Astyanax mexicanus: one gene and its partners. The main gene of each other region encodes a partner of the protein of the gene in region 2 in a complex. Links are inferred from orthologs where the notes say so. Each region holds a gene or a part of one and is shown on either strand. Other genes may lie near its edges.

The links.
Region 1: trmt112 (region 2) and thumpd2 share a complex: the UniProt entries of both Homo sapiens proteins name them as parts of the heterodimeric THUMPD2-TRM112 methyltransferase complex. The link is inferred for Astyanax mexicanus from reciprocal best matches to the Homo sapiens genes TRMT112 and THUMPD2.
Region 3: trmt112 (region 2) and trmt11 share a complex: the UniProt entries of both Homo sapiens proteins name them as parts of the heterodimeric TRMT11-TRM112 methyltransferase complex. The link is inferred for Astyanax mexicanus from reciprocal best matches to the Homo sapiens genes TRMT112 and TRMT11.

The regions. Positions count from the first base shown.
Region 1 is NC_064421.1:32,504,077-32,515,148, reverse strand, and holds the start of thumpd2 (THUMP domain-containing protein 2), read right to left. Parts: upstream 4,916-11,072; 5' UTR 4,796-4,915; coding exon 4,691-4,795; intron 2,965-4,690; coding exon 2,832-2,964; intron 1,709-2,831; coding exon 1,470-1,708; intron 1,177-1,469; coding exon 1,099-1,176; intron 1,043-1,098; exon of another isoform or gene 982-1,042; intron 916-981; exon of another isoform or gene 817-915; intron 751-816; exon of another isoform or gene 652-750; intron 553-651; exon of another isoform or gene 454-552; intron 421-453; exon of another isoform or gene 322-420; intron 289-321; exon of another isoform or gene 178-288; intron 1-177. Other genes in the region: ecd (protein ecdysoneless homolog), read left to right, coding at 6,746-6,941, 7,292-7,497, 8,604-8,782, 9,899-10,091, 10,916-11,044. UniProt on the Homo sapiens protein: Catalytic subunit of the THUMPD2-TRM112 methyltransferase complex, that specifically mediates the S-adenosyl-L-methionine-dependent N(2)-methylation of guanosine nucleotides, most probably at position 72 (m2G72), in the U6snRNA of the major spliceosome.
Region 2 is NC_064417.1:41,864,682-41,875,334, reverse strand, and holds trmt112 (multifunctional methyltransferase subunit TRM112-like protein), read left to right. Parts: upstream 1-5,778; 5' UTR 5,779-5,901; coding exon 5,902-5,976; intron 5,977-7,209; coding exon 7,210-7,311; intron 7,312-7,415; coding exon 7,416-7,508; intron 7,509-7,612; coding exon 7,613-7,714; 3' UTR 7,715-7,963; downstream 7,964-10,653. Other genes in the region: atg2a (autophagy-related protein 2 homolog A), read left to right, coding at 229-313, 392-545, 663-732, 984-1,066, 1,283-1,404, 1,520-1,674, 1,823-1,975, 2,543-2,779. UniProt on the Homo sapiens protein: Acts as an activator of both rRNA/tRNA and protein methyltransferases. Together with methyltransferase BUD23, methylates the N(7) position of a guanine in 18S rRNA.
Region 3 is NC_064413.1:31,063,675-31,075,775, forward strand, and holds the start of trmt11 (tRNA (guanine(10)-N2)-methyltransferase homolog), read left to right. Parts: upstream 1-6,791; 5' UTR 6,792-6,829; coding exon 6,830-6,907; intron 6,908-7,134; coding exon 7,135-7,200; intron 7,201-8,591; coding exon 8,592-8,665; intron 8,666-8,955; coding exon 8,956-9,037; intron 9,038-9,135; coding exon 9,136-9,228; intron 9,229-9,482; coding exon 9,483-9,617; intron 9,618-10,943; coding exon 10,944-11,100; intron 11,101-12,101. Other genes in the region: si:dkey-29b11.3 (actin-binding Rho-activating protein-like), read right to left, coding at 618-1,088. UniProt on the Homo sapiens protein: Catalytic subunit of the TRMT11-TRM112 methyltransferase complex, that specifically mediates the S-adenosyl-L-methionine-dependent N(2)-methylation of guanosine nucleotide at position 10 (m2G10) in tRNAs.

The DNA of each region.
Region 1 (11,072 bases), on a different chromosome or scaffold from region 2:
TATAAGAGGTTTATTTTGCAGATCCACATTAAAGTTGGGTTTAAGACAGTGGTTAGTAACATTGTGGTTGGTATTAAGATAAAAGATATTAATGTTAGGGTTAAGGTTAGAGTTAGTAATAAGGCTAGGGTTATTAATGTTATGGTTGGGGTTAAGGTTTGAGTTACTCATGTTATGGTTGGGGTTAAGGTTAGGATTAGTAATGTTATGGTTGGGGTTAAGGTTAGGATTAGTAATGTTATGGTTGGGGTTAAGGTTTGAGTTACTCATGTTATGGTTGGGGTTAAGGTTAGGATTTGTAATGTTATGGTTGGGGTTTAGGTTAGGATTAGTAATGTTATGGTTGGGGTTAAGGTTAGAGTTACTAATGTTATGGTTGGGGTTAAGGTTAGAGTTACTAATGTTATGGTTGGGGTTAAGGTTAGGATTTGTAATGTTATGGTTGGGGTTTAGGTTAGGATTAGTAATGTTATGGTTGGGGTTAAGGTTTGAGTTACTCATGTTATGGTTGGGGTTAAGGTTAGAGTTACTCATGTTATGGTTGGGGTTAAGGTTAGGATTTGTAATGTTATGGTTGGGGTTTAGGTTAGGATTAGTAATGTTATGGTTGGGGTTTAGGTTAGGATTAGTAATGTTATGGTTGGGGTTAAGGTTTGAGTTACTCATGTTATGGTTGGGGTTAAGGTTAGAGTTACTCATGTTATGGTTGGGGTTAAGGTTAGAGTTACTAATGTTATGGTTGGGGTTAAGGTTAGGATTAGTAATGTTATGGTTGGGGTTAAGGTTAGGATTAGTAATGTTATGGTTGTGATTAAGGTTAGAGTTACTAATGTTATGGTTGGGGTTAAGGTTAGGATTAGTAATGTTATGGTTGGGGTTAAGGTTAGGATTAGTAATGTTATGGTTGGGGTTAAGGTTAGGATTAGTAATGTTATGGTTGTGATTAAGGTTAGAGTTACTAATGTTATGGTTGGGGTTAAGGTTAGGATTAGTAATGTTATGGTTGGGGTTAAGGTTAGGATTAGTAATGTTATGGTTGGGGTTAAGGTTAGGATTAGTAATGTTATGGTTGTGATTAAGGTTAGGATTAGTGTTTACCTCAATGGATGGATCTCGAAGATCAGTTTTCCACCCAAGCTGTCGGCTGATGGCCACCCCAATGATACGACTCAAATTCTATAAGGGTAAAGGTAAGGTAAATGTCAAACCAACAGTAAAATATATGTGTAGATTTATTTGTATTGTACTGTTTATTTGTGATCACAAGCTCACATTTAGAACATGTTATTTATTAATCATTTTGTCAGTTATTTCTCTTATGGCCGCACAACATTGAAAAAGCAGGAATGCTTTTGTGTGTGTATTGGAGCATCTCAGAGTCCATCAAAATGCAAGCCATCATAATGTTTTGGCATGTTGGTGTATATCTTCTGTATATAAATTCTGTATGTCCTCCCCCACACACACACCTGGGAGTTGTAGCAGCGAGCGATGGCTCCACTGCAGCGGCAGCTGACTCTGAAGGTGGGGCGACTCTGACCACTCTCACTGCTGTTCTCCTCCTTCTCTCCTTCATCCCTCTTTCTTTTCTGACCCCGCCCCTGAGGGCCATTAAGCTCCGCCTGCAGGGAGGTCCAGGACTTGAGGGTGTGGCTCCAAACATCTCGATTTCCCACAATGCTCTGTTTTATTACGTCCGCTGCTTTCGCTGAAGAAAGAATTTTCAAGAGTAAGACATACTTGTGATTGACCTAATATAGGTGTGAGAATGTATCGATACAGCAATATATTGTATAGTTTTCATTATCAATATATGCCATTAAATACTGAATTAATGTATTTTGGTTTTAATTTTTTTCTCCTGTAAGCTTATGTTACACAGCTTACAGTTTACAGTAGTGTAGTTGTGTTTTAAATTTATTTATGGCAGTTTGTGGCTATTTTACAACACTGGAATAATATTAATGCAATAAACGGAAAAGTTGCAGTAAGCGTTTGTGTTGTGAATCTGACACCAATAAATCCATATTTTACCCTTTTCAGTAACACAGATGTTCTGTATTGTATTGGAAAGAATATTGTTGAAAAGTTACTTTATTTCATTAATTCAGTTATATATATATATATATATATATAGATGTATTACACACAGAGTGATCTATTTTAAGCGTTCATTTATTTTATTGTTGATGTCAGTCAGAGTCTCAGAAAATTAGAATATGTATATAAGACCAATTGGTACTTTTGGCAGTGTGGGAAGTGTGCCAAGTCCTGCTGGAAAATGAAATCTGCATCTCCATAAAAGTTATCAGCAGAGGGAAGCATGAAGTGCTGTAATATTTTTTAGGAAAACACTGCACTGACTTTAGACTTGATATAACAGAGAGTACCAAAACCAGAAGATGACATGACTCTTCAAACCATCACTGATTGTGGAAACTTCACACTAGACCTCGAGCAGTTTGGACTGTGTGTCTCTCCACTCTTCCTCCAGACTCTGGTTCCATGATTTCCAAATGAAATGTAAAATTAACTGATGATCAGTGATGGTTTAGAGAGTCATGTCATCTGCTGGTGTTGATCCACTGTGTTTTATCAAGTCTAAAGTCACTGCAGTGTTTTCCCCAAAAATCTTACAGCACTTCATGCTTCCCTCTGCTGACAACTTTTACAAATATGCAAATTTTATTTTCCAGCAGGAATTGCCACAAAGCCCACACTGCCAAAAGTAGTAATTAAGTCTTATATAATATTCTAATTTCTAATAAGAAGTAACTACAAATCTTGCGCATTTAAGTTTGTTGCACACCTGTATGATGCGAGCAGCACACCTGGATTTTTGGGCAGGGTAATGGGAGGAGCCTTGCGCAGCAGCAGGAAGAGCCTCTCTGCAGATTTTAATAACATCAATTGCTGTAGAGTTGAAGTGCAGCGGAAAAACACTCGGCCAGGGATATGCTCCACCTAACACACAGACACACAAGTAAAAGGTTCATTTATCAGAATAACGATGGTTTAAACAGTTTACTAAATATCATATTCTCTCTTATTCTGTCACACCACATGCCGTTTTAGTGATATATTTTAATAAATAAGTATTTTCTTATAATTACAAAACATTGTGTCATAATTACAAAAATGTATAATCATAATTGCAACAGCAGTATCATAATAACAAGCTGTAGTCTCATAACATTGTGGCCCAAACTCCCATAAAAAAAAGCCCTGAAATGTGTAAATTTAATTTCAACCAGAAATTTGTAACCTAACTACAGCCCACAATTTTTAAGCTACAAAAACACATTTCAGCAGAGTTGTAGAACCAAGCATATATGCTTATGATTTATAGTTTTATGATTTATATTCATAAAACTATCCAACAGTCTTTTGGGCAGAAGTTTAGCCACTCTTCATTTTAGCTAAAAGTTTGTGGACACTATTAGCTAAATGCATTTGCATTCCGCCATTCAGCCAAATGTTTTTGGACTCCAACACTTAGCCAAAAGCTTGTGGAACTGCAATCTAAGCAATAATATCACCAAATAAAAAAATATATTAATTTTGTTGCAGTAGTATGTTCTTGAAATAATATATATTTTGTAATAATAAATATTGACATTATTTTATAATCATATCACCCACCCCTAATTATTACATAACATCATGCTAATGTAATAACACAATGCTGATTACAGTTTTTTGCTTTCCAGTAATACACAGCTGTAAAAACTGTAGCTATGTGTTTATAATAAAGTGGACAGTGAGTAGTGTACGGTGGCAAGGACTTTAAAGGTTTGAACTGTGGTGAGCTTAATGCGGTTTAACTCGTTTTAACACCACTGTAAATCTGGAGTGTGGTGAGTTTAATTCAGTTTTAACACCACTTCCTATTTGAAATGTGCTGAGTTTAATTCAGCCTAACCTTACTTTATATCTGGAGTGTGGTGAGTGTAATTCAGTTTTAACTCCACTTTCTATCTGGAGAGTGGTGAGTTTAATTCAGTTTAACTCAATTATGACTCCACTTTCTATCTGGAGTGTGGTGGGTTTAATTCAGTTTAACTCAGTTTTAACTCCACTTTCTATATGAAGTGTGGTGAGTTTAATTCAGTTTAACTCAGTTTTAACTCCACTTTCTATCTGTATTGTGGTGAGTTTAATTTAGTTGAACTCAGATTTAACTCCACTTTCTATCTAGTGTGGTGAGTTTAACTCAGTTTTAACTCCACTTTCTATCTGGAGTATGGGGAGTTTAATTCAGTTTAACCTTGTTTTAACTCTATTTTCTATCTGGAGTGTGGAGAGTTTAATTCAGTTTAACTCAGTTTTAACTCCAATTTATATCTGGAGTTTGGAGCCTAATGCAGTTTAACTCCACTTTATATCTGGAGTTTGGAGCCTAATACAGTTTAACTCCACTTTATATCTGGAGTGTGGAGCCTAATTCAGTTTAACTCAGTTTTAACTTCACTTTGTATGTGGAGTGTGCAGAGTTTCATTCATTTTAACTCAATTTTAACTCCACTTTACATTAATTCGGGTTAAATCAGTTTTAACTCCACGTTATATCTGGAGTGTGGGGAGTTTAATTCAGTTTAACTCAGTTTTAACTCTACTTTACATTAATTCGATTTAAATCGGTTTTAACTTCACTTTATATCAGGACTGTGGGGAGAACTCTGTAAGTTACCTCAGTAGCTTTCAGTTTGTTTTTGACTTCATCCAGCAGGAAGGTCTCCATACCGCCGCCTGCAGTGCAGTAATACCCCGCCGAGACCCCCGCCCCTCTCATCATCAGCTCTACACAAATAAATATACTGAATTAATACAGATTAAATCAGTCTGAAGGATCTGTCTGATGTAAACAAGAACGCATGGGCTCTGCAGGACATACAGAACCATACAACATCCGGGTTAGACTAGGCGACCTGCCAAAATAAAAGCATTAGTTAGGAATACAGTACCAGTCAAACGTTTGGACACAACTTTTTATTTAATGTTTTTCTTTATTTTCTTTATTTTATATATTGAAGATTCAGACACAAACATAAATTCACACCTTAGATCAGAAGATGTTGATGTGCTGATGGTTCAGTGTGGATGCCATGTGAAATCTTAGAAATAAAAAAAAGTAATATAGAAAGAGAGTAATGGATATAAACTTTTTTTTTTCTTTGCATTATTTGAGGTCTGAAAGTTTTTTTTTTTTGTTGTTATTTCAGCCATTTTTCATTTTCTGAAAATAAATGACAATAAATATTTTTATTTGAAATTTGGGAGAACTGTCTGTAGTTTATGGAATAAAACAACAATGTTAATTTTACTCAAAAATAGACCTTAAATAGCTAAATCAGATAAACTGTTTCAGAAACTGAAATGGTCTCTTATTATTTAATTTTTCTTCCAGAGCTGTACATCTGAGCTGCATTTACAATTTTATCTTTGCGCTTGCAAGAACTTTTAATTTGACACCGGACTCTTTCTAAGCTGGTGAGTAGCTTTAGGTTGTGTGTTGTGCGCATGTGCAAAACATCAAGCCTGCGTTCTGGATGAGCTCTACATGTCTGATGGAGTGAAGTAATAAACAGTAGCGTAAGTGAAAGCTTCTTAAATCAGCCGGTTTTGAATCCTGCTCACTTTATAGACACGTCCGAACTTTTAAGACGCCTCTGTATCTTTTAGAACCGAGTTTATACTCAGGTTTTTCTTGTTGGAGTCATCAGTTATGATGTTAACTAATAACGTTACTGCATGACTAGCTAACTGCTAAAGGAACATGATCAGGTTTATTGATAAAGTTTATTCAGATTTTTCTCTTTAAAAAAAGCGATGCTGGAACAGATGCTGTTACTGCTCGATGTGCACAAAATAATACATTCTGACATTAGAGATCAATGTTGTTTCAGTGTATTAGCGATGGAAAAATTAACTTTGCTGTCTGGGTAATATATACATGTAACTTACATTACATTTATCTAGCAGTGTTATTGTACAATTCGTATAACTCCTAAATAAACTGTTCTATTTAAACAGATAGAATAGGGTAGAAAAGAGCAGCCATTTCTCCAGAGAATGTGGACATTCTCATCTCCTCAAAAAAAAATTGAAAATATAAAAATAACAGTTGTTTTGTCTAGCCTCAAATATGTTAATAGTTGTGGTACCTTAAGGAGCATCTTTCTCTTAGATAAAGTTAATAATATATCTTTTGTTAAAGAAAAATTGTCATTCTCAGGGACCGAAAAAGTCTTAAAGTCTTATTTTTCATGCTTAACTGTTATAGCAGGATAGAGTTCAGTTTGTTAAGGCTCTAATTGTTCTATTATTTTGTACATGACTGTTCCTTTTTTTATATATATTTTTTGTTGCATTATTATGTTGCATATTGCTGTTTTAATAGTGCACACTGCTGCTACCAAAAAAGCCACTAGATGGCATTACATATATATCTTAATTGAATTATTTAAATTTGACCATTAGTGCCTAATGTGGTGTATTACAGATCACTTGTATCAATTCGTATCACTTATATCGAGCCCACCTTTTGAAATAAGATATTGTAAAGTTGATGAATCAAACCAATGAATGACCATAGACTAATCTAAAACTGGCATAGGCATCTCTGCTGTTAAAAAAGAAAAAAGAAAATCGGAAATAAAATCGAATCGAGTATTTAGAGAATCGTGACACCCCTACTGATTACTGTCTTATTTTGATAGATTGCTCAGCACTACCAACCACTGTGATGGACCCTCTTAAGAAAGTGCCTGTGCCTGAGGATGTGGTTCACTATAGGCTCTTTCTAGTCCAGCCAGACTCTGCGGCCAGTGAACAGACCCTCCTAAAGCTTCAGGAGGACCTGCTGGCTGAAGTTGCTCCTCTGTTGGTGCAGTACATTTGGCAGCAGCAGCCGTTCAACCTCAGCTACCGTCCAGAGAAAGGTAGGAGCCTACAGCCTGAGTTTTAAATGCTTGTTGTTGTTGTTGTTGTTGTTGTTGTTGTTGTTGTTGTTGTTGTTGTTGTTGTTGTTGTTGTTGTTGTTGTTGTTGTTTTTTTTAACAAATTATCGGTTAGTCAACACTGACATTTGGAGTCAGCAAATTTAAAAAATCGACGATGTTGCAGCTCTACAGTAATACTACTGTGTATTCTTGAAGTGAACTTTGAGAGTAGTGTACACAAGGATGTACCCATTATGACTAAAGGAACTTCACAATCCACTAATTAATGTCATGTTTTATTAGAGTTGCCATGTGTCTGTTTATTAAACAGTGCTAAATCTGTTTTTTAGGGGGAGTCCCAGCACACTTGGGAGGCAGCACAGAGTTTGGTGATAACGTTGAGGACGAGTGGTTCATCGTTTACCTGCTCAAACATCTTACACGCACCTTCAGTCAACTAGCCGCCACTGTCCATGACAATGACGGCCAGTTCCTGCTGATTGAGGCGGCCGAACATCTGCCCAAATGGCTCGACCCCGACAGCAGTGAGAACAGGGTAAGCATAGAGGAGGTATTATGTTTACTGTGGTTTGCACAAGTATTCATACCCCTTGAACTCTTTCACATTTTGCTACCTTACAACCACACACTTAAATGTATTTTATTGAGATTTTAATTGATACACCAAAACAACGTAGCACATAATTGTTAAAGCAGAACACGAGATTCATACATGGTTTTCAAAATTCAAATAAAATCTTTGATGTGCAAAAGTACTGCTCTGAAACCCCCTAAATAAAAGTAACTTAATTTGTTAATTAAGTCCAGCTGTGTGTAATTTAGACTCAGTATAAAAAACACCTGTTCTTTAAAGGCCTCAGTGGTTTGTTAGAGAACACTAATGAACAAACAATATCATAAAGGGACTAACCAGACAGGTCAGAGGTAAACTTGGAGAGAAGTTTAAAATAAGAGTTAGGCTATAAAAACATATCCCAAGCTTTGAGCACCCAAGGAGCACTATTCAATCAATCATCCTAATATGGAAAAGGTATTCTACAAGGAAAGCAAAATCATTGTAGAAAGAAAGAGATAAGAATTGCTGTTTGCACTTTTCCACATGTCATGTAGCAACACATCAAACATGTGGAAAAAGGTACTGTGGTCAGAAAAGACCAAAGTTAAACTTCTTTGCCTACATGCAAAGCACTGTCGTTGTGGAAAAGTAACACTGCTCATCACCCTAAACAAACCATTCCCACTGTGAAACGTGGTGGTGTCAGCCTCATGCTGTGGGGTTGCTTTTCGTCAGCGCGGACAGGGAAGCTGATCAGTGTTGATAGCAGGATGGATGAAGCTAAACACCAGCAATCCTGGAAAAAACAACTGGAGGCACTTTTGCACATCACACAGATTTTTATTTGGAAAAAAAATTGAAAACCATGTATCATTGTCATTACACTTCATAATTATATGCTACTTTTTGTTTGTCCATCACTTGAAATCTCAATAAAATACATTTAAGTTTGTGGTTGTAAGATGACTGTGAGAAAGTTCAAGTGGTATGAATACTTTTGCAAGACACTGTATGTTTATTCCTGTGAATAAGTGAATGCCTGGCTGTCTGCTGATTGGTTGCTTTGTCTGTTCATCACTATACAGGTGTTCTTGTACCGGGGGGGGCTGTACATATTACCCAATCGTGGTCGTTCTGGAGAAGTTGGCTGGCCTCGGGATTCAGTGCCGTTGCTGAAGGATGCTCTGGATATGCTGCACAAACATGCTGACCGCTGTCTTGCAGAAAAACGGATCCGATCTGCAATTGACCACAGATTGGAGGGGTGAGAGACGAGGCTACTTGGCTTGATCTCTGAGAAAAAATATACATAGTCTGGCTAACCTCTTGTTACTGCAGTCATCTTATTAGCTTCACTGATCATATTTTGATCATATCACTTTGTAGTTATGTAATATATCTATAATTGTGGCCTAGAGGATGACCAACATCTGTGCAGTAACAAATGAACTTATATCTCTAGATGTCTCCAGCTTTACATCTACAAGGTGGAGCATCTCTAAGTAGGAGTGTGTAATAGAGTGGAAGACAGTGAGTGAACACAGTGTTTAAAAACTCCAGCAGCACTGCTGTATCTGGTGTCTAACCTTTACTTCAAGAGCAGAATCTGTTAAAAAATGTTAACTTTAAAACTCACACATAAAACTATTACAAACATACAGTGGTATGAAAAAGGGCACTTCTGATAATTCTCATGATTTATCTTTAGAAATCAGTGGTTGTTTGGATCAGCAATTTCAGTTAAATATATCATATAGAAGATGAACACTGATGTTTGAGAGAAAATCAAGTTTATAGGATTTGCAGAAAGTGTGCAATATTTTTTTTAAACAAAATTAGGCTGGTGCATAAATTTGTGCACTGCAAAACAAAAATGATATAATTTAGTAGATCCTCCTTTTGCAGAAATAACAGCCTCTAAAAACTTCCTATAACTTCCAATGAGAGTCTGGCTTCTGGTATTGAAGGTATTTTGGACCATTCTTCTTTACAAAACATCTCCAGTTCAGTCAGGATTGATGGTTTCTGAGCATGAACCGACCTGCTTTAAATCACACCACAGATTTTCAATAATATTCAGGTCTGACTCTGACATTGTGTGGAAGTGTTTAAGAATAACAGCAGAGTGTATGTTTACATTACGTGCACTGCTGTTGTGTTACTAAATGATGATGATAGTAAAATTACTTTAACTGTTGGGTTTATTCTTCATGTAAACACTAATATTTCTGTAAAGGTTCTTTAAAATGACAGCATTAGTACAAAGGCAGTTTGCTTTTTTTAAATAAAATTCTGCAAATCAAATGTAGCTTTTTTTGTCCCCCTTTTTTATCTGATTAATAATCGATGTGTGTGTGTGTGTGTGTCTCTGTCTGTACAGGTATCCAGATAAGATCCAGACTAGTCTCCATCACGCTCACTGTTACGTTCCTGCCGGTATAGCTGCGTTGTTGTCACGGCGACCGGACCTGATAGCCCCCGCTGTTTCTGCTTTTTATCTGCGTGACCCCATAGACCTGCAGGCCTGCAGAACGTTCCAGACCTTCCCCCCCGACACCAGGGTCCTCACATCAGTAAGTGTGCTTACATTCATTGAGAGTCCTGTGTTATAGCAGCTTAATGTAGTACAGGCGTGCTACACACTGATAAAGGAAGGTACAGAGGTTTTATTTAACTTGACAGTGCAGGTTTGGCAAGTTAGTCTACAAAATATTATATGTAAATAGCTGATGTATGCCATCATATGTCTCTGCACACGCTATTTGAGGTGCTGTTAACTTGTGGTTTCTAAGGCTGGTAACTCTGATGAACTTACCCTGTGCAACAGAGGGAACTCTTGCTCTTCCTTTCCTGGGGCGGTCCTGATGAGAGCCAGTTCCATCATAATATTTTTGATGGTCTTTGTGACTGCACTTTAGAATACTTTCAGAGTTCTTGACAAAGTTATTTTCGAATTGACTGACCTTCATTTCTGAAAGTATTTTTTTTTACTTTACAACTGATGCTTTCAAACACATTAAGAGACAAGAAATTCAAGTTATTAATTCTTGAATTGAGTTCAGCACAACTGAAAACCATTCCAGGTGACATTCCAGGCAAGAGTTGCTGCTTAAATGTAAAACATAAATATAAAACATATTCTGGTTTGTTTAACACATTTTTATTTAATAATTCCATATGATTTTCTTCATAGTTTGGATGACTTTTATATTAATCTACATGTTGTAAAATTGTGGTAAAAGTAATGAAAAAAAAAACTGAATTTAAGGTGTGTTCAACTTTTGAATAGTTCTCTATAACACATTCTTTACATTCTAATTTGTATTAGTAATTAGTATGCACACCATGTTAAATGCTAATGTTTTTTTTTTGTTTTTTTTGCTCATTTTCATTACAGGTAAAGTTCACTCGCTGTCTGTACGCTCAGCTGATGCAGCAGAGTTTTGTTCCGGACCGGAGGAGCGGATACACCCTGCCTCCTCGCTCAAACCCCAACTACAAATCTCACGAGCTCGGCATGAAACTGGTGAGTACACTGCGTCTTTCCTGCCCAT
Region 2 (10,653 bases):
AGTTACTATGTTTTGACAGTGACACAACCCAATGTATGTCCAAGTATTTGTGGACACTCCTTCTAGTAACTGCAGTCATTTACATTAAGCTGCACCCACTGCAACCGATCTGAATATGTAGAAATGCTTGAAGAGAATTACTGCATGAATCAATAGAACAGGAGCCTTTGAAAAATAACACGAACACAAAAAATTGTACAGAACCAATTTTTTTTATATTTCCACCAGGATGCACTTTTCTTCATGAAGGACTACTTCAGCAACCTGGCTGCTGGGGTTAACCCATACCTGCCTGTTGACCCTGCAGCTGAAGGTAAGCCCAAGTCAACATTTAGCAGTGGATAGATGCTTTTGCAGATTTCTTATACGTTGTCCTATCCTTCTTTTACAGTGAAGGCAGATGCTACACAAAAGCAGTCAGAGGATGCAGAACCTGTCTCTGGCTTGGGTCCTGATCTCACTGCTTCTGTGGAGACAACTTATAGTGAGCAGAGCTCCTCTTCAGCTGGTTCCTCCTCTTCTTCTGACCAGCCAATTTATTTCAGGTAAATCATGTACCAGATTTACAGTCTAATTACAACAAACTGTATTATTTTTTTCTCGGATTTCTTAGTTTGTATCTTTTGATTAACAGCTGTTTTAATATTTTTGTCTCCTGTCAGAGAGTTCCGTTTTACCTCAGAAGTTCCCATCTGGCTTGATTACCATGGAAAGCATGTGGCCATTGAACAGGTAAGAATTTAGAAAATACAAACTTCTATATAAGAGCAATCAGACTTTTTAATTTAAAAGATTCATTTATTTCAAACACTAAAGAAAATGTTTTTTTCTTCTTTACAACAGTCCATAAGTAACAGTTTTTGAATGCAGTTTGAAAGGGCCTTAAGACTGCTGACCAGTGCAGCCAAACTGGCCATTTTTGTTTGGTTACTTAGTGCATTGTATTTAATCCTGTAATTTAAGAGCTTGTTTTGTTTTGTAAGGGAACATTTGCAGGAATTCTGATTGGCCTTGCCCAGCTGAACTGCTCAGAGCTGAAGCTGAAGAGGCTGTGCTGCAGGCATGGGTAATTAGCTCAATTTCTTTTACATAAATCACATTTTGCCTCCTTTTTTCCCCCATCTGAACACTTCTTTAATTTATACATAGTGTTTTGTTTAGAATAGCTTGGCGAGTCTGATTTCCTACTATATCTTAGTATTGATGTGTTCCCCAATTAAAAAAGACTAATCTGTCTTTTTATCTCTCTAAGAAAAAAGTTTAATGTTTCTTTTTCTCTTAGTTTGCTGGGTGTTGATAAAGTCATTCAGTATGCTGTGAATGAGTGGCTAACTGACATCAGGAAGAATCAGTTACCAGGCATTCTGGGAGGTGTTGGTCCAATGCATTCTGTAGTTCAGCTCTGTGAGTATGCTTTATAAAGCACTTTATATAAAGCGTTTTTATATATGTCTGTGATGTCTTAATATTTTAATATTTTACCCTGGTTTGTTTATGGTTGTTTTCTACTTCCTTATAGTCCATGGAGTGCGGGATCTGTTCTGGATGCCTATAGAGCAGTATAGAAGAGATGGGCGCATTATCCGTGGCCTACAGAGGGGGGCAGCATCTTTTGGCACTTCAACAGCTTCTGCTGCCCTGGAGCTTAGCAACAGGCTGGTGCAGGCTATACAGGTATATTCACTTATATCTTTGATCATTCTAGATCAGGCTTTTTTCGTTTTCTCATTTAAGATCCTTGTTCTGTTCACCAAAATAATATAAATGGCACTTTCAGTAGATTCAAATTCACAAATGGTAAAGTTTAAGTATTGTTCCACAGGCCACTGCAGAAACTGTGTACGACATCCTGTCACCAACTCCACCCTTGACTCGGTACATCACAGAAGGACGCCCCGCCACCCGTCCCAGGCGAACCCCCCAACCAGCAGACCTCAGAGAAGGGGTGGCCAAGGCCTATGACACAGTCAGAGAGGTAAAATTCTGCCTTTCTTTTCATTGATGCTTAGATGTAAACTAGATGTAAGCTAGTCAGTTAATCAAGTGGGTCAGTGTGCTAAAAGCAGGGAAAACACTAAAATGTTTCCAGGGACTGAAAGCCACAAAAGTCCATTTACTACATTTATCTTTTGTTTACTGGATTTATGACCTAAAAACATTTTTTTATTATTATTATTTGTATTATTTTTATACAGCCTCTTGCAATTAAACACACTATGCATTTAACACTGATATGTATACTGTATAAAGGACATTTTCTGCTGTATCACTTATACCCTTTAACATGGTAACTTGGCTGCCTGTATTGGATCTGTAATGTTTCAAATGTCCTAATAGATGTACACAATACACAATGGCAGGCATACAGCTTATAATATAGTAGTAATAGTAGTAGAAAATAGCCAACCGATCACCCCAACAAATAAATGATTTCCCCACAAGCATGCACCTCCACACTCATTCATCCAGGTATTTTAACAGGTTAACTTATTAACTGTGACTTCAGCTGATGAAGCCTTTTTCCTCTTTCTTTGCTTTGCAGGGAGTGATTGACACGGCTCAGACCCTGTGTGACGTGGCTTCTCGTGGGCACGAGCAGAAAGGTCTTCCAGGGGCGGTCGGTGGGGTTTTGCGTCAAATCCCACCCACTGTGGTGCGTCCCTTAATAGTGGCATCCGAGGCCACGTCCAACTTACTCGGAGGCATGCGGAACCAAATCAAACCTGATGCGCGAAAGGAGGACTTCTTGAAGTGGCGCACAGAAGACGGCCAAGAATGACTGTCAGAGATGCTTGCTAAATGACTCTTTTTGCTAGTGCGAATGGTAGAGTGACTGTGCGAGTGAAAATGTGAGTATTAATTCAGACATGATGATGAAGGAGAAGAAAACAAATTTGTCACTCAGCTAAGCCTGAGATGTTTTAAGTGGCTTCCAGATGTTAGTTGCACATTTTTCATGTTCATGCAATGCAAACATTTTCTGTGTGCACTTTGGTACAAGCAAAGCTGTCTGTAGATGGCCAAGTGCAATTCGCTGCCGTCTCATCTTATCTGAAAGTATGCAATCATATCGATCTTGAACACTGTTTACCATTTACCAAATTACCTGTTTATTGTTTCTTTCCTTCTCGTATTACACACCTGGGGCATCGAGGATGTTTAGCTGTCTTTCTTTAATTATTCAAATTGCTCAGTATTTCTTTCTGTCATCTATAACAACTGTGACATTGCTCATGTCTGCGTAGAAGAATGAGACAATATCTGTCAACATCAAGCCGTTGATTATGATTTTGGACTATTCACATAACTCTGACCCTGGTGTTTATTGTGCCATACTTCTGTTCACTATTAAGGTGAGCAACAATCAGTTTGACCATTAGTTTGACAAAGTCTGTCTCCTCCTAATGCCAGTATACCGTATACATGCTCCTGTAGCATAGCACCCACGCATTAGTTTTCTAATCAATCACTATTTTGTTTTGATTTGTAGTTCATAAAAACTTTGCTAAAAAAAGCCTTTTTGTTTGCTTTCCCAAATTCAGACTTGCTTAGCTCCATCTTGTTATTGCCTTTCTAAATTTTAAAACTGTTTATTTTATTTTGTAATTATGACTAACAACATGATTATCATACTCATTGTGATGATGTCTGTGTATGAGGGATGGCTTTCAGTGACTGAAAGCGTGGAAAGAGGTTTGTGGGTAATACTTCACACTTTTTGTTAAACATAAAACAGTACAAATTAAGGGAAGTGGTGTGAGTGTAGGATTGTGTGTGTGCGTGTGTGTGTGTGTGTATGTACACAGTGTCTTATGCGTGGATGAGTGCAGAGGTGCATGTTAGTGGGTTGATCATTGTTTTGTTGAGGTGATCTGTTGGCTATGTGTTTTTTCTGTAATTACTGCTATATCATAAGCTGTAAGAATGACCTGTATAATACCAAGACAATGTGTAAACAAATTAATACAAAAATAATAAAACATGTACATTTGAATAAAGGTGTACTTTCTTTGGTAATTATGGATGTGAATTACATAGCTATATTGTAGGGGTGACTGTATTTTTTGCTTTTCAAAAACATTTTTCCTATACCTGAACAATCTGCAAAAATATATATACACATTTTTTTTTAATGAAGATACTGTTACTTATTTAACATTAAGGGAATGTATGCTTAATGTTAGTGCCTGTACTTACATTTGGAAGAAAATGTATGTTAAAATTTATCACACTCACTAATAAGAATGATTTTTTTTTTATTATTTCAATGAGTTCAATTCCACTTCCTGTAATTTCAATTCAATGTTTATTGAATTGAATGTAATTCTGAATTTTGCACAGCCCTGGTCTGAAAGCTGTGCATCTTTTTTTGTTATTTCAGCCATTTCTTATTTTCTGCAAATAAATGCTCTAAATTACAATATTGTAATAATCCTGGTTTGAACCGGGTAGAGTAATGCTGCCTCTTAGAAAAAGCTCGGTCGCGCATCTACACCAAAAAACAGAGTATGCGTCTAAACCATGCATTGCGTTAGCCACAGTTTAGAAAAATATGCAGTGAAAACGTACAGAAATAAAATCACTTGTAGTTTGTAGAGACAGACTTGATAAACATACAACTTTTAGAGAAATATAAGAAAAATATGCCTTGAATTAAATTGTTACTGTGACACACTCTTAAGACAGATATAAAATCACTTGTACTCTATAGCACCTGATAAACATACTACAACTTTTGTTTTGAAAAATATGCCTTGGTTAAATTTTGAAGTTATATTTTACCAAACAAAAGTTATACTATGTTTATCAGATGTGTCTATAAACAATGCGTTTTTCTTTTTATCTGTATGTCATTAGGTGTGATATAATAGCAATTTATTGCATTAAAATTAATACAAATTCAACCAAGGCATATTTTTTAAAACTAAAAGTGGCAGTATGTTAATCAGGTGTATCTATATACATTGCTTTATATCTATATTTCATAATGGCATGTCAGTAGCAATTTATCACAGCTTATGTAATATAATAAGTGTGATTTCTTTTAAATATTTTATTTTATATTTTATAAATTGATATATATTTATATAGAATATAAAAAACATTTTGACACAAAATACAGAAAGATTTAAAACTTTTTTTAATCTAGCAAATGTATATATATATATATATATATATATATTAAATGATATGTAAACAAATTAATGTACTTTTTAACTGTTAATTAATTAGTGTGATTTGTTCTTTAAACAGCCATTTATAATATTTATATTAATATATTATTATATTCGTAATAAGTATAAAAATATTATTCATTAAACTTTAAAACCTCAACATTCTCTATTTTTTTCTGGAGCTGTATCTGCCAGTAACACTGAATCTGTCCAGAAAGTCTGCATGACAGCTGCTAGAATTTTTGTTTTTATTGTTGTTTTATTGACTTCTGGTGTCAAAAATGTGTTGTTTTAAACTGACTTTCCTGAATAATTCGAATTCGATATATTGCCTTAAATACTGAAATAAGGTTAAATGAATGTGCATTTTCATTAATTGGGACAAAACAAAAAAGCGTTCTCATTTTATTGGATTTTATTTTACGGCAATAATTGGTATTAACAGTTATTTTTATTAAAGTCCATATTATTTTAATATGCTTTTTAATATGTCTGGAAAACGAATTAGATCTTACTCATTATACTTTATTTGATCAGTGTAACTCAGTTCACGGTTGTGCCACTGTGTCCTGCAGGGGGCAGTATGTGTGGTCTATGATGTTGGCTGTAGCCGCTGTTTAATCCGAGAAGCAGAAATACACGTGAGGCGCTAAGGAAAGCTAACGACTAAGCATAACTTATATATTATTATATTTACACAAAACCTGTAGATCCAGCTTACACAGATATGAAGCTGCTGACGCACAACATGCTCACCTCGCACGTTAAAGGTGTAATTAATGGATACCCACTCCTGATAAAGGTAAGCAGTTAGCTAGCTCATCTGAAACCTAGTATCCAGTAACGTTAGTTCACTCATTAAATGTCTCCATACTGGCATGAATCGGAAGTTGGCCTTTAATTTAACAGATTATCTGGAATTTTCTGTCCCACCTCAGGTTGTATTAGCTGTTCAGTTGTGTTGCTGGTGTTGTGTGTGTCTGATGTTTTGTCTTCTTCAGTAGCTAATGCTGAAGCTAGCATCGCATCCAGTTTAGTCAGGCTTGTATTACACAGAAACCCAGGCAGGGCAGCAGCAGCAACGGGTTAATCTGCTCTTATTAAACCCTACAATTTCCTGCAGTTCACTTTCTTCTGTATATCAGGCGTTTCATGATCATCATAATGATTATTTATTAATTAATTTAACAATACTCGTGTTTTTTCTAGGACTAGACTTTAGAACTGTATAGTCGTTTGTGTTTACTGCCATACAGTGTAATGATAGTAAACTCTTGGTTTACTGTTTTTAAAACAAATTGCATTTAAAATTGAGCAAATAAAAGCTGCCCAAAGGATAATATTAATAATAACATTTGATTAGGCCCGTCCACACGTTTCCAGATATTTGTAAAACCAGTAGCTATAGTCTGCAATGCACAAGTTTCCTTGATTACAGGAGCTTACCTCTACTGTTAGAATGTTCTGACTGTGATTTGGTGCTTCAGCTACACTCAGAAAATAAGTCTATGGGTTTTAAAGCCTATTTTCAAAAGTGTTTACAGGTGTAAATAAGATAATGTCTGTAATATCCAGGGCGTGTCACAAAGCTGGATGCAGCAGAAATGGCATTTCAGTTAGTTGTGTTCAGGTCATATATATCAGTGTTGTTGGCTAACAGATGATAAATTATCCAAAGCAATCTCTAGAATCCTCGCGCAGCTCTTCAGGAGGCACTTTCCTCACTATACTTATGTTTCTCCAGTTTTATTGTTTTAAATTATCTAAAGATTATAAAAGTAAGTTTGTTCTACTACTTTCTGGTCACATTAACACCACCTTAACAACCAATATTAAATATTGTGTCAAACAGACTGCAACATACTACAGTTTTTTTTTAAATACTGCACGTATTCCAGTTAATCAGGACTAATTACACTTTTTGTCACAGTTGGTCAAGCACTGAAATTATTTGATATGCTTACAAAAATGTATTATAAAATGTTAAAATGTATCAAAATACATTAAAATATTCTCATATTGCCATTTTCCGAAGGCCACAGAGGTCAAAGTGAACGAAGTGGAGTTCAACCCTCAGTTTGTGAGCAGAATGATACCAAAGCTTGAGTGGAGTGCTTTAATCCAGGCAGCGGAAGGGGTAAGTGGTACTAAGGTTATAGGGACCATGATCTTTTTCAAACTGCATCACTGTTTTAGGTTGTTTCAGTGAAATGATGGTGAACATGTCATATGTTTTTATAGCTGGGACACCTGCAGGACTTGCCTGGCACACCCATAGAAAACTATGAGAATGATGCAGAATTTTTACGTAAAGTACACAGAGTTCTGCTCGAGGTAAGATATGTGTCCATTATTTTTAAAATCAGTAATCAGTTAAAATACAGAGTATTACTTGTAATATACCTCACTCACAGCTGTTAGTGTCTTCTTGTTTGTAGGTGGAGGTCATTGAGGGATCTCTACAGTGTCCGGAATCAGGCAGAGAATTCCCCATCTCTAAAGGAGTCCCCAACATGCTGCTCAATGAAGATGAGTCATAGGTGATGTTTCATCTTCCTTTTTACAAATGATGAAAAAAAACCACTGTTGTTAAATTGGACAGAAGCAGAGTTAAATTGGATTGCAACAAGTCTTCAAAATGAATGGATGGACATGGATTGAAATATTGGCAAGAATGAAAAATTGTCCCTAATTCTTGCAGCTCTTGTATGCCCTGTTCTTTAAGTTGTTTGTTTGTTTATTATGCTTTGTAATATACTTTAAAATAAATATGTATTGTCTTAAAAAAACTTGCAATCACTATATTTTTATTCACATAAATTAACAATGTAAGGTATATTATTCAGCAACTCTACACATAGTGTACAGTGGCAAAATTTCACCATAATTTCAGAGTAGGACGTTGGGAACACTGCTCTCTGGTGGTGGGTTTTTATTTATGTTCATATTTATGTAGTCTGCCTTTGTCTATCCTTCAAGTTGTTTCTTGTACACAGTTGCGCACTTATATACTAAATGGTAATTGCAAACTTTACACATTAAAACTAAATCAGTAGGTTTGATAACACTAAATGGCTACGATATAAAGCAATTCCTTTTAATTTACTTTACTATAAATACATATACATTTATAGTAAAATACATGCTGGGCATTGCATTGCAAAATAGTAAAGGTTTTTCTTATCAACAATCTTATTTACCAATATTTTACCATTATCTGCTTTATGTGCAATTTAGACAACATACTAATTAACCGGTTCTTTTGAGTTGTGAATGAACTGGCTACATTTTGTTTTAGACATTGCACTGAAATGTTAGACATTGTTTTAGACCCACTCTCATAATCTTCTCTACAGTGTACATTTCATATTAACAAACTGTGAATAATTTACATTTTAGTAAATAAATTATGCTAAAATACAACAAAAAATTAAGCTTAAAACAAACCAACAGACATGCTACACTTTTATTCATTGCAATATAATGCAGTTCCACTTATCTGACTATTATCACCAAAACACTATCAATATAATAGTATACTTGCACAGACACCTTTAAGCTGCGATCTGTGATCATGTTTTCATTTTAGATTTTTTTTTTTATATTACTTTACCTCACCAACCACCTCAATAAACTTGTTTTGGAGTGTTTACACCACTGCTGTACCTGGTATTTAGTGTATTTGGTTTTCCAGACAGTTCAAACTGAAGTATGTCTTAATTATAAGTCACTACAGATTTCTAAAATCATAACAATTACCTGCTGTGTGTTGAACAACATCTGACTGATTCCAAAGCCTTTGTGCATTTCTGTGATACCTAAATTGAAATAGATCTGAACATTAAAAGAATGCTGAACTGTTAAAATGTCAACAAGGTGTTTGGACCCATTTAATTGCAGGCTCTTTTAAAGTTTGCCTAATTTTCTTTTTTTTTTTTGTGAAGCTTCTCAAAACTTCACATGCCAAGCTCTGAGTTCAGGATGACGTGGAGTTTTAAATTGAGATTATATTTAGACTGTGAGAAGCCAGAAAAAAGCACTACATTTTTGGGGGGGTCGCTATTTTTAAATATAGTATTTTAATCCTTCCGCTAACCACCAGAACCTTGTATGCTGTATCCCTCCGCCCTTATCCCTTTCAGTGGGCGCTAGGTGTCGCCAAACCCTCCAAATCCAAATAAGGATTTTTCCTTTTCTTATCCTCTTGCGTTTGAATAAACGCTTAAATCCTTAAGTCATGTTTCAACAGGAAAAAACACTCTATTTTCATGCAGTGGTATCAACCACCCTACTAAAGAATTCATAGCTTGGTGTCTCTATGCCTTGGAGCGCATTTCTTAAGCCCTTTCAGCGTTTAGTCTTGTGTTTAGCCCACTTCTTCAAGTTCAATTACAGCCCTCTGACTGCCACTATAATAACCTTATAATGGGGGAGGTGGAGATCTGCAGTAAAGCTGTTTTTGAAAGATTAACGATCATGTAGTTCATGAACTGTAATTAACAATGAGACGGAGGGAAGGGAGAGGTAGAAGAAAGAGAGGGTGTAGTCCAAATGAAAGGACTGAAGTGTTAAGGTGGATATTAATCATTTCAGTGTAATAAATTAAATGTTAGTTCTAAAGTAAGAAGACAGCAGTAGGTGAAGCAAATTGAAAACACTGGCCCAGTGAGAGTTATTTTGGTTTCTCCACCTCACTGCTGCACACTGTATGGCCTACTGTTGATTATCCAGCAGCACCTGAGCTTGGTGGAAACTTTTCTGTGGAGTAGATTCCAAAGCTGTGCCAAAAGAGAGTGATTCATTCATCTGTTGGTGTGTGGAAAGTGAGACTGGTGAGGTGGGCTGGGGGATATAAAGGGGATCAAACTCGTAATTATGTAGGCTGTGCCAGTTGAGCTACGTGAGAAGCCTTAGAACGCAGACAACCGGTATTAGAAGTGTATAAAACATGATTGATTTTTGAAAAAGACCTGCTGTATAATTGTATGTATAATTGAGTGGTTTATTTTGTACAATGGTTCATACTCAGGTTTGAGGACCCAGAGATGATGAGGAGAAGAAGAAAACAAGACCTGGAAAGTCTCAGCTTGTCAGAAAATGTATGTAAGCATGTAAATGTTAGGGGGTGGCTCAAATATCAAATTCCACATTCTGACTGTAAGGAGCAAAAAAGACCAGCTCTCTGTATTGCTACTTTAATCTTTATATTTACAGTGGATTGATATTTTTGAGTCACCACAGGCTTTGTGGTTAAGGCCCTGCTGGTCTGGTTAGTAATCTATTCCTAGGAACCTAATTTATCAGTATTTCAAGAAATGTGAGGCAGTGTAAGGGGATGGTTTGTGCGTTCACATTATGTAGACAAAAATGTAAATACTTGTTTTTCATTGAACAGCGACAACTTGACTGAATACTTACACAAGTGGAATCAGGTGTGCTGTTGATTGATTAGAATACAGTAACCTGCAGCCTGTGGATA
Region 3 (12,101 bases), on a different chromosome or scaffold from region 2:
TGTTTCTCTGAAGCTATGTCATAGAAGGCTGTTTCAAAGTAAACAGACCTGTGTAAATGGCTGAGAAATGCAATGATGTACACCCTTTCATGCCCTAAATTATCAACAGTTCTCTGTGCATGCACAACCTGAAAGAAACCAAAACAACACTTGAAGTTGTGTTGTTTCTGGTGATTTCACCATGCAGACCTCATTAGACTGTTCTTCATAGGACAGTCTTACTGAGGACCTGTGCACTACATTCTTTAAAGCTAGTGTGCTTGTGTGTTTAAGGGAATAATGGGAATTCCTAACAACTAGTAGACAGGGGGAGTACTGCATAATTCATTAAGATTCATTGGGAATTTTTCTATTTCTTCTTTTTAAAAGTAGAAAGCACAGGGTTAGGGTTGGTTCCTGTCTTATTATTATTTATATTATTTTCAAAGCATTAGTGCAAGTTGTATGTAATGTAAAGTCAGTTATTGGATTAAAAGTAAAGAAAGACATCTCTGATGACTCTCCAAAAAAGAAACTGTTGACCCCTGCTGCAGGATCAAGCCAGATGCACTGGATGTTATTTTGCACAGCCAGCTCTTTTGCATGCTTATGCAGATCGTCTTTGCATTGATGCATGCTCACGAAAGCAGCGAGATGAGCACTTGGTCGTCTCGTCCTTGCCACAGCATCTCCCCTTCAAAGTGCACCAGCCCCTGCCTCCGGGCTCGCAGCAGCACTCCCACCACCTTGTTAGAGATGCTCACGTAATGTTCAAACAGCGTTCCAAACTGCACGGCTGCCCTGCCGTCCTCTTGGCTCTCGCCGATTTCTCGGATGACCTGACACAGTTCCTGCACCTCCCTGCTCACATGGGAGTGAGCGTCCTGCCCTCTCTGCTCTGTTTTGGAACCCTCCGGAGGCCTGCCGTAGCTTTGCTGACCCTTCTGCAGCTGCACAGCCGGTGCCTCATTGTTGCTGAAGGGATTGTGTTTCTGATACTCCTGATGATCACTGGACCATTTCAGCCAGCTCTGTGTTAATCCTTTAACTGAAACATCACCGGGGTCTGCTCCGTCTTCACATGGCTTGGCTGCATCCTTTGTCTCCATAGTTTATTTCACAGCCATTGAAACCCCCTTTACAACAGTTGCCTCTGGAACAAAACACACTGTTAGTGATTCATTGGCTCTGAATAGGGTGCATTCATGTGTTATGGGCCAGCAGGTGATACAAGACTCTGGTTATGTTGTGTTTATTTACACTGCTAATGGGCACATATGCAAAACTGAATAAATTAATTTATCTTGGCCATAAGTGTAATATATGGAGTTTATGTATAAACATCATACAGTCATGTAAACAATTAGGATCCCTTGTCTTTTTAACATTTTTAAATAATGTTATATGTGATGTTTTGGATTGAGAGGTAGAACTTATCTAATTACAAAAACAAAAAAACAATCATTCATACAATGACATTAGGACACCTCTTACCACTTAAAAAGCCAAAATTATTCTGATGATTAGAACATAGACAGGATTTTGGAGGAGCCTGTCTTGTTTAAACCTCAGACATTTAGGCTCTGTTCAGATACAGATACAAATATGTTTCTCGAATATGATCTGTTGACATGAATGTCTGTACTAAAGTAACAAACCAATCTGTATGCACTGCAGAAATAATGACATAAACATTAGTAACTAAACATATGTGCAGTGGCGCAAAAAGGGGGTATGCAGCGTATTCAACACATAGGGGCGCTGCACTACAGGGGGCGCCAAATCGATGCCGGAAAATAATTTCTAGTCGGCATTTTCTGTAAGAGCTGTTGGTTCATGTATGATAATAGAATATAATAATAATATAATAATATAATAATAATACACAGGGGCGTGGCGTGGCCTGGGCTTCCAGTAGCCCCGAATCGTTTTACTCAGCTCAGCTGTATTATTAGTGAGGAGACAGGCCGCTGTGAATGGAAAATCTCTTGACGCGAATCACGGAGCCAGTTCTAGGATAAAGTTCCGCCTTTCAGGAGAAACAGCCAATCAGCTTGCTGGTTTGCGGAGCGCGGTGGGCTAGTAGGGAAGCCCCCGCCCAAGCCCCCCCACTGCCTCGCTGGGGAGGATTTTTGAGGGTTTTTAAGTTCTTGCACCGGGTTTCAGCACTGATGTTAAAACATATCTGGATATACGGAGATTTTTCTAAAAGAAAGGTAAATGAACTAACCATGTAAACTGTGACGAGATGTTTCTGATAGCTAGTTAAAAAGACCCGTCTCTGAATCAAAACACACAGACCAAGGTTTGAAAATGTACCTGATCAGCCAATAACTGTTTCATTTTCAAATTGTTTTTATTAATTTAGGATTGCAGGATTACTGTAAGCTATAATTAACGAAAATGTATTTAGCTAACCAGTTAGCTATAAGCTGGATGTTGTCGAAAGCCAGAATTTAGTATTATACTTAGTTTAAATTAGTTTTTTAACCCTGTTCTCTCCTCTAAAATTGTATGTTTTTCACCCGATCCAACTGATCAGCTAATAAACTTATATAATCAACTGGGCTGAGCCCCGGATTTTTAAATACCCAGGCAACGCCCCTGATAATACACATCAAAAAACAAAAACATGCACTCATCAGGCGCCCATACACTCCTTCTCCACCTGCAGGACAGGTGCTGTATTTACAATATAACCGATCATAACAAGTAAGTAAGTAGATGGTGAATCATAAAACTAATACGTTATAGAACAGGGGTCAGCACTGTATTTTATATTACATAACTGATATTCTGCATCTTGAAATCATTTTTGAAGGGGGGGGCGCTGGTAGTATGTTTGCATACACCTCAAAAAGTATGTAGGTTTACCCCTGCATATGTGTATTGTTGGATCCAAACACTTCAATCGCTCTGGACTTGATGTAGTTGTTACTTATCAAGCTGTGACGCAAAAAATCCAGGCTGAGAAACATCTGTAAAAATCCAACTGGATTTTGCACAAATTGGATATTTTTCAGTCTATATTTAAAAAAAAATTAATCAGTATACAACCATGATGTGCCAAAAATCAAATGTGGGCTGGCAGTCTAACTTAACAAATACATACTGTTGATAGAGTCCTCAAAAACATAACCTGTGGTCTTCCAACTGTGTTCACGAACATACATATCAATATTAACACACATTCTTGCTTTCTGTTTGCTTTATTTTGTTTATTTGTGTTTATAAGTCACTAAAGTGTACCCTGTCACCTGGTGGCCCATATCACCTGAACCTACGTTAAGAGATCCAGCTACAGTGATCCTTTAAATTATGTATCAGGTAAAGTACAGCCAACAGCACTGTAATCACAATTGTCTTTGCTCTTAAATAAAGAAATTGTTGCAGATGCATTATTTTCACACTGTAGTATAAATATCTTGTAATGCAAAAAAGCAATCTACTGAAGATTTAAATAAATATTTTCTGACTTTCCATACATTTAAACTCTCTTAAAGCAGTAAACAGCTCTAATTGAACAACAATGTTCAATTTACTAAAACATCTACCTATAAATTGCAAAATCAGAATAAATGATTCAGAAACTAAAGTGGTCTCATTTTTTTCCAGAGCTGTATATTGCAATGCAAAAAAACAATCTATTGTCAACAATATTTAAATAAATATTTTCTGACTTTCTCTAAATTTTAAATCTTTCTTTCCATTTACAGTCGATGGAAAGAATGTATAGCAAATAAAAATTTAAAAAATGTTGCAGATGCATTATTTTATTTAAGAAATACTGTAGCTCACACTGCAAAAAAATATTTTGTCAAAAAGAAATTCCTGACATTTCTTGACTTTCTATAAATTTTAACCTTCTCTTTTCCTGTACAGTAGATGTGAGCAATGTATAATATTTTTTTATTGTTGTGTATGCTAATCCTGCCAAAAACAGAAACAAGGACGCCTCGAAAATGTGAGAATTAATAATACATAAAGAACAATAAATAATAAAATAATAAAAACTTTCATTTTACCAAAGTGCATTTTTTGCCCATATATGCAGCAATGTGCTGCCAGGGACAATATCACTCCATACATTCAGTAACTAAAAAAGGTAAGAATATAACTAAAAATATGTAGTGTATGTATATGTAGTAAAATAAGAGGCGTATAAGATCTGCACTAAAGTGCACAGACACTATACAGAGCTCCGAGAGGGTGGATATAGGGGGGGAAAGTAGTGAGAATGAGAAGAGAAAGAATTAAGGGAAACGATAAGAAACAGTTACATCGTTATGTTGTGTTCGTTGGAAGTAAAGGATTAAAGTAAGGAGAGTTTTCTTACCCTGCTCTTTATGAAGAAGAGCTGCTCCAGTGACAGGGCGCTGCTGCTGCTGCAGACACTCACACACTTTCAGAAATAACAATAAGACAGAACTGCACGACTTCTGATTGACCAGTGAAAAACACACCCTCAGACATCACTGTGAAGCTGTCCACTTTTTCACCTGCTTTCTTACCTACGCCTGGGGAGTCTAAATCCGATTAAGAGACACATTTAGAGCTGCTACTGAATCCTCTCGAAAGCAAGAGTCTGTTCTGGTCGTTTATTCTAAAAAACAGCACGAAGACAAGCAAGAAAAGTCCAGAGACTGAGTGAAGAGTGAGTAAAGCCTGTGTCTGAGTTGTGTATTCTCCTGGTTTATAAGGTTAGTTAACGTTAGTTAGTGTGAGTAAAGTCTGACAGCAGGGCGGAATATAGACATGTACACATAGACGCCGCATCGATTGACGCCGCCTATTGGCGCTGGCGTATCAGTGAGGCCGCCATATTGGAGGAGTCAACCACGCGCCCCAGTTATTAGTACTGAGGAAGGTGAATAATGCATCTATAATAATCACAACTCTACCAATTTATACCCAATTTCACACGGTTTGTTTTGTTTCTAACAGCAGAGATGTGATAATGATACAAGACGCTGTCTCACATTACAAATACGTGTTTTCATGTTGAAATACTTTAAATTATGCTCTTTTACAAAGACAGACATCTGGTATAGCATATAAATAAATGTATAAATGAATTCATTTTATGTTTATATGTACGTACACACACACTTAATACACTTAACCATACCTGTCAAGTCTCCCGTTTTGGCCGGGAAACTACCGTATTTTACTCCTCTTTCCCGCCGTCCTCCCGTATTAGTATTTTCCCGTAAATTTCCCGTATTATATTAAGATTAAAAAATATATATTATTGAGGAGACAGGGCACTGACCGCGCTGTGTCTCTTAACCAATCGTGGAGCCGGTTCAAGGAGAAAGTCCCGCCTTTCAGGAGAAACAGCCAATCAGCTTGCAAAGGAGAGTCAGTGTGGTGAAGCCCCTAGTCGCTGTGAGTTCAGGCAGCTAGTCGGAGCTGCTGATGTTAAAACATATCTGGATATTCAGCGATTTTTTTTAAAGAAAGGTAAGGGTAAGCTAATCATGTAAACTGTGATGAATTTTTTCTGATAGCTGCTTAAAAATACTCGTCTCAGAAATAAAACACAGATTAAACCTTTTAAAATAAAAAGATTACAGCTTGTGACTCAGTTTAACTAGAAATGTGGAGAGGACCGAAATTAACTGAACTGATCAGGGGTTGAGTAATCAAAAGAAAGAAGTATTAATTAAAAATTATTAATTGTGTAGGCCACTTAGGACTAATTTTTACTGATGGAATATATCTGGTCCATGTCCTTTTAGTAAAGGCTCATAATACTATTTCTAGGTCACATACAGTCATTTTGCAGAATTTGTGCACCCTTTGTTCAATTTTAAATCTATTAAATAAATAAAAAAATATATAATATAAAAGAGTGCATTTATGGCAAAAAAGACATGAAATCTTAACTTTTTTTATATCTAGAAAAGGATTTTTAATTTGGCTGTATTAAAAGAATGACATATGTAGGAATGTCCACAACATTTCAGATTCTGATAATCTAATTGTAGTGTGTAAGTGGTTCACATGTGGTTATTTTAGATTTTTTGTAAACGTGTCTTAAAATGTAAGGGATACTGAACCTTCGTTGGGCTGGTGGGACGGCTTTAAGCGGACAGAGGAAAATATCCCTTATTTTTAAATCTAAAACTTGACAGGTATGCACTTAACACATTAATATGCCATACCATATTTCTGTCTGTTTCTTTGTTAAAGACCATAATACAAAGTATTTCAGGAAGAAAGCACATATTTGTAACGTGAGACAGCGTCCTGTATCACAACCACATCTCTGCCGTTCATAACAAACCAAACAGTGTGAAAATCGGGTAAACATTTTCAGTACTAATAAATGCACTGGAGAGCATGGTTGACTCCTCCAATATGGCGGGCAGTGTTCTGTCGAGTTGTACTAACTTGTCAAACCGTGCAACGGGACGATATAAAAAATGCTCCCGACAGAGGAAGATTTGGATGTTCGGATAAGCTACATCACTGTATCAGGCAAAGTTATGGTCATATAGGTGATTAGAACCCGTTTTTTTAAGTTTATTATGTATATATTTTTTATTTTCCATTTTTTTTAAATTACCATTTATAGCTTTGTAACATACAAGCAGGTGCTTTGATGCACCAAAAGAAAACAGAATTATCATAAAACACATGAAAACATAAATAAGGACGATTGGCGCATGCGCAGTGCTGTTAAGAAGCACATATCGGTGGGTAGCATAACTCGACAGAACACCGGCTGCTACTCCAGGAGGCAGGCTATGCTGCATATCTCTTTGTATACATGTCTTTGGGGCGGAACCCGCTGTGTTGTGGTTGAAGCTGCTGCGCTCACCCGGACGAGCTGCAGCACTCAAACATGGCGCTGCACTGTGGCAAAACATGCCGACAGTATTTACTCCATTTAGCTCACGATAACGTGGACTTCAGACTCCCGGTACGGAATTTAACTGTTTTAAACTGTTCAGTCTGTTAATGCAGGTGTTTGGAGATGTCTGTTTTGTGAGATGTGATGCTGTAAATCAATATATTATTAGCTGGTTTGGTTAGCTAAGCTAGCTAACCTAACATTCTCAGGCTGAGCTTCATTCACTGACTGTTGATGAATAGCTGTATTTACAGTGATAAGTTTAAGTAACTCTGTGTGATTTTTCTTTCTTTCAGGAAATTAAAGCATTGCTGTCCCTCAGGGGTCGACAGTGTGAGCCTTCAGAAACCTTCAGAGAAAAGGTGGAGTCATTCCTCTTTATTTAATTAATTAACTATGCACTGTTGTTTTAGATTTTGTGGATGTCAAAATAATAATAATAATAAAAATAATAATAATAATCTTAATATTCTGTGTGAGCGATACATACATAACAATTTTAGTTTTAGTTTTTTAATTTTAGTTTTTTTACAGCACCATCTAAAGTCTTGCTTAAGCGATTTGTTTCCTTTACATTAATTTTTTTTATTATTATTATTATTTTTTTTTTTTTACAAATATTAGGCATTCCCTTACCTTACAGCAGCTTCTGTCCTCTGACAGCTTCTATATAAAAGATGTACAAGATGTCGATTATCCCATTTTTATGTGTCAGTGATTTTTTTTTTTTTATATTTTACACTTTTCTTAACTGAAATATAGGGATGTTATATTTGCACTATGTTTTATGTAAAAGCTGCATGTAAAAATGTTAAAATTAAATGTAAAGAAAACAATAGCTTGCGCATCAGTTTTAAATCATGGTTCACCAGTCTTATTCACAATGGGTTGGTGTGCGTGCTAAACTACACAAGATGTGTCTTTGCTATCATTTACGGATATGATTGGGTGACCCTTGCTTTAAATGGTGCTGCTTGTTTATGAGAATTGTGCATATATTTTAAAAATAATAAGATTATAATTTTGTTTTTGCAATATATCTCAACCCAGTCAAATGTTTGAACGCACCTTCTCACTCAGTATTTCTTTACTTTATTTATTTTCTACCTTATACCCTCCTGTAAGACGCTGAGAAGTTTAAAACATATTCTGGTTTGTTTAACACTTTTTATTAACTACATAATTTCGCATGTGTTCCTGCATAGCTTTACTGTCTTCAGTATTACATTAACAATGTAAAAAAAAAAAACATAAAAAAAAAGAAAACACACTAAATGAGAAGAGGTGTGTCCAGACTTTTGACTGGTTCTGTACATGAGTAAGAAATGAGGGTAGCCTGGACCACTTAATAGAAAAGCTCCCAGCATTAAAAAAGAGTAGGTTGGATGTGTGGTTGGATAAAGTTTAATGACTTAACAGAAAATGCTTCCAATATTAAATCAGTAGTTAGGATGTGTGGGTAGCCCACATCACTTATCAGAAAATGCTCCCAGCATTTAAAACAGTAGCTAGTTAAAAGGCTTTACACTAGATAAAGGAACATGGTTCCACTGATTTGAATTTTAACCACAATTTTTTTTATTGAAGCCAGGTGCTGATGTTTATATGATTTACTTATGGATCAAAAGTGACAGGGGAGCTTTATATCCATGGTAAATTCATGCATTGCTGCTCTCATGTGTTCTATTCAACTGGCAGGGCGTTACAAAGCTATTTATGCTCAACAAAATTTCGCTGATTTTTTTTTTCACAGTCTCCGTTTTGGCGACTGCATGGCTTGTCTGAGGAAGATGTGCGAAGTGTCATGTCACGGACTGTCTGTGCCAAGTAAGTCTCATTCGTGTTATATCACACTAAGCGGTTATTCACTTTCAGTAATGTGAACATTAGCACAGTTCTTCCTACCTCAAGGCCACCTTGTGCAAGATATCATAACATAATATTTGCTATATATTCAAATATTGATAGTAGTATTTGTGAATGTAACTGCAGGTTGTGTGATGTTTTTATGTAAATGTATGTTTACACTCATTCTGGGCCTGGAAAATCTATTTTAAGGGTGTGTTTTAATATGTTGTGTAAATGCATTCTATGTTTTTTTTTCTTTTCTTCTTAAGGTCTGTGTTTGAGCTTTGGGGTCATGGGAGAACAGCAACTGAACTGAAGTCATCATTGATGGAATATCCCAGGGAAAGCATGGTTTGTGTTTTTTGATTTAACAGTTTAGTCCACATTTAATATGCTTTTTAAAATTAAATCAGATTTTTTTTGTCCTTAAACCTTGATGTATATTCCAGGCTACCTTTCTACAAGATCAATCAACATACAAGATTAATGTCTACACTTTCAACAAGACACTGCTGTTCAATGACAGAATAAAGAAAATAGATGTGAGTACGCTGATATAACCACAACATTGCAGTTTTTTTTTTTTTTTTTAAATCGTTGCATTATTTGCATAGAAGACCACTTTTTTTTATCTGTGTGACCTCTTAGAGTAGGCATGGAGAATGTCGTCAAATCCTTACGTTCTTAAATAGTATCTTGAAGCTGCCTGTTTTTCTTTGTCTGACAAACTACAAAAGGAATAATAAAACTGAGCTGTGATGTTTTTTATGACAATGAAATTGCTGTCACTCCACAGGCCTTGGATTACCTGCCATTTCAAGGAAAAGTAAACCTGAAGGATCCTGATCACATTTTCTGTTTATTTGAAGACTATGGACTAGACCCAAATGACATCCCAGAGGAGCCACTCTACTTATATTTTGGAAGATGGGTGAGACCCATTTTTTCCAATATTTCTCGCAGTTTATTAATTTTTAATTCCAATAGTTTGGATGAAGTACTGGAGGCAGGCAGGGGATGACCTAATTAGACAGCAAAACAGGAAGTGCCAGACTGAACCACTTGTAGCCCTTATGATTAGTATCATGATTAGTAGCTAAAAAAACACAGGGTGTGTTTATGGTAGCAGCTTTTTGTTTTCATGTCTTTGTTTTACAAGACTTACAAGGTGTCCTCTATGATTCAGGCTAGAACTAGTTGATTGGGTTCAATATTCAGAACTATGGTGATATTAGGCAAACATACAGCTGTATGGAGTAAGACTAAAACTTAATCATTGCTTATTAAATCATATGATCTTAATATTAGTGTTAAAACATATTTTGATATATACATGTTCTTTTTTTGGGTTACATTGTGGGTAATTTTCCCAGACAGTGACTAGGCGTAGTCATAGACTAGAACTTCCTTTTAATGGTAAATCTCCATTTAAAATGCTGTCTATTCCAAGACAAGGCTTAATCCCTGTCATGGGAACTGTCTTGTTTGTTTTTGACATGGATTGTTAAAGCTATAAAATTAAATATTGCTATGGCTGCATTGCACATAGCACATGTATTTACTGAGCAATCTATAACTACATAAAATGCTGCTCTAATGGTGACTAGTTTTGAAGCTTTGTGTTGTGTGGTAGTGTATGGATTGGGACACAGCCACGCTAAACTAAAGCATCATACAGAGAGGAAGTTAAATCACAGGTGTGGCAGGGCAAGTCTGCACCCTCAATGAAGTCTGCAGATGTTAGCATTGTGATGTTGGTGGAACTAGTTGGTGATATTAGAATTTGACCATTCATAAGGCAAGCTGCAAGATTGCATACAAAACAATCATCTTGTGACGTTGTGTTTGTATTGTATTCTCATTTCAAACTCACCATCTAAAAACAGACCGATCTGCTCAGGTGGTCCACTTGTTTAGTACGCTCACAATTACTCTAAAATGAATTGTCATGTTAGTGCCTTTTGTTAATCAAACTAAAGCTAACAACCATAAACTCACCCTTAGATTAGATGAAACAGGATTGTGGGTCAGTTTAATTTTTGTTGAGAATCAGCATCACCTTAGAAAATTTGCATTTCTTTGGAAACGTTTATTCTTCCAAAAAAGACAAAGATAAAAAAGGAAACTACAGTAGTTTTTTATTACTATCTTGGATTGGGAAATATAAGACTAAATTTGCATTTCAGTATTTCGCTTGAACCGTGCCCTGTCTTTAGCAGCATTTGGCATCATATTTTTACCTGTTTCTTTCTTTTAGATTTCAGATGGGCAAAGGGAACTGATCCGCTCTCACAGTGTGAAGAAGAGGCACTTCATTGGGAACACCAGTATGGACGCAGGTCTTTCTTTTATTATGGCAAACCATGCCAAAGTAAAGCCTCTGGATCTGGTCTATGATCCTTTTGTTGGAACAGGTGAGGAAAAAACTGTGTAGCAAATGACAGTTGGCTAACCTATGAATTACTTTTTATTATTTTGCCATTTTATTTGGACAGATACAAAAACATGTCTCATAATTTTTTAAATATGAATAATTTAAAACTACAGTAGATCAAAACCCATTCTGTTAGTGTGATTTAAAAAAAAACAAACATGATAATGCTTCAGGAGCACAATTGCTGTGATATGTTCCTTTGACATATCATGAATATCAAGCCCTGAAGCAAAAGTAGACTGTACAATTGTAAGACAGGGTTTAAGATTTTCCCATTGCAGTAATCCATTGTGGATTTTGAAATGTGTATACAGTAAAATAAACCATCAGGATGTAGAAAAGAGTTTCTACTTATGACTTGCCTGTGAAGGTCATATTTTTGCAAGATGTTACTGTACAGTAGAACAGTGAATCTCTCCAGAGTCACCAGAGTTCTTCTTGGTGGTCTTTTCATGTCAAACAAGGGTTTATATGAGAAATCTTCTGAATGAAAAGCTTCTAAAAACACTTGAATACAATTAAGGCTGGACGATATAGCAGAAATTGATATCAAGACACATCTTTTCTCGTATATATTTATTTACTTTGATTCAAGACAATTTAAATCACGAAATGAGCAGTATAAAAGTCACCAACATTGTTGTACAGAAGCACTCACTGATCTGAGCTGGGTGATATGGTATACATTTTATATCACATTATTTGGCAGATTTTGCTATTCTGTTATTCCAATTCTCTTTTATGCCTGTACACTGATTATTTAATTGTTGCTGCATAAATTAATTCATAATATTTATAGTCTGAAATTGAATGTACAGATGGGTCTATTAATGTTTATTTAACAACTATTATATCTTCGATATGCTTATTGTCGATACTGTAAGAAAATTTATGGTGATGCTAAAATATTGATAAATTGTCCGACTGCATGTATAATTATATAGCATTTTCTGCTTTGTAAGCATCAATCATTTAAATGGT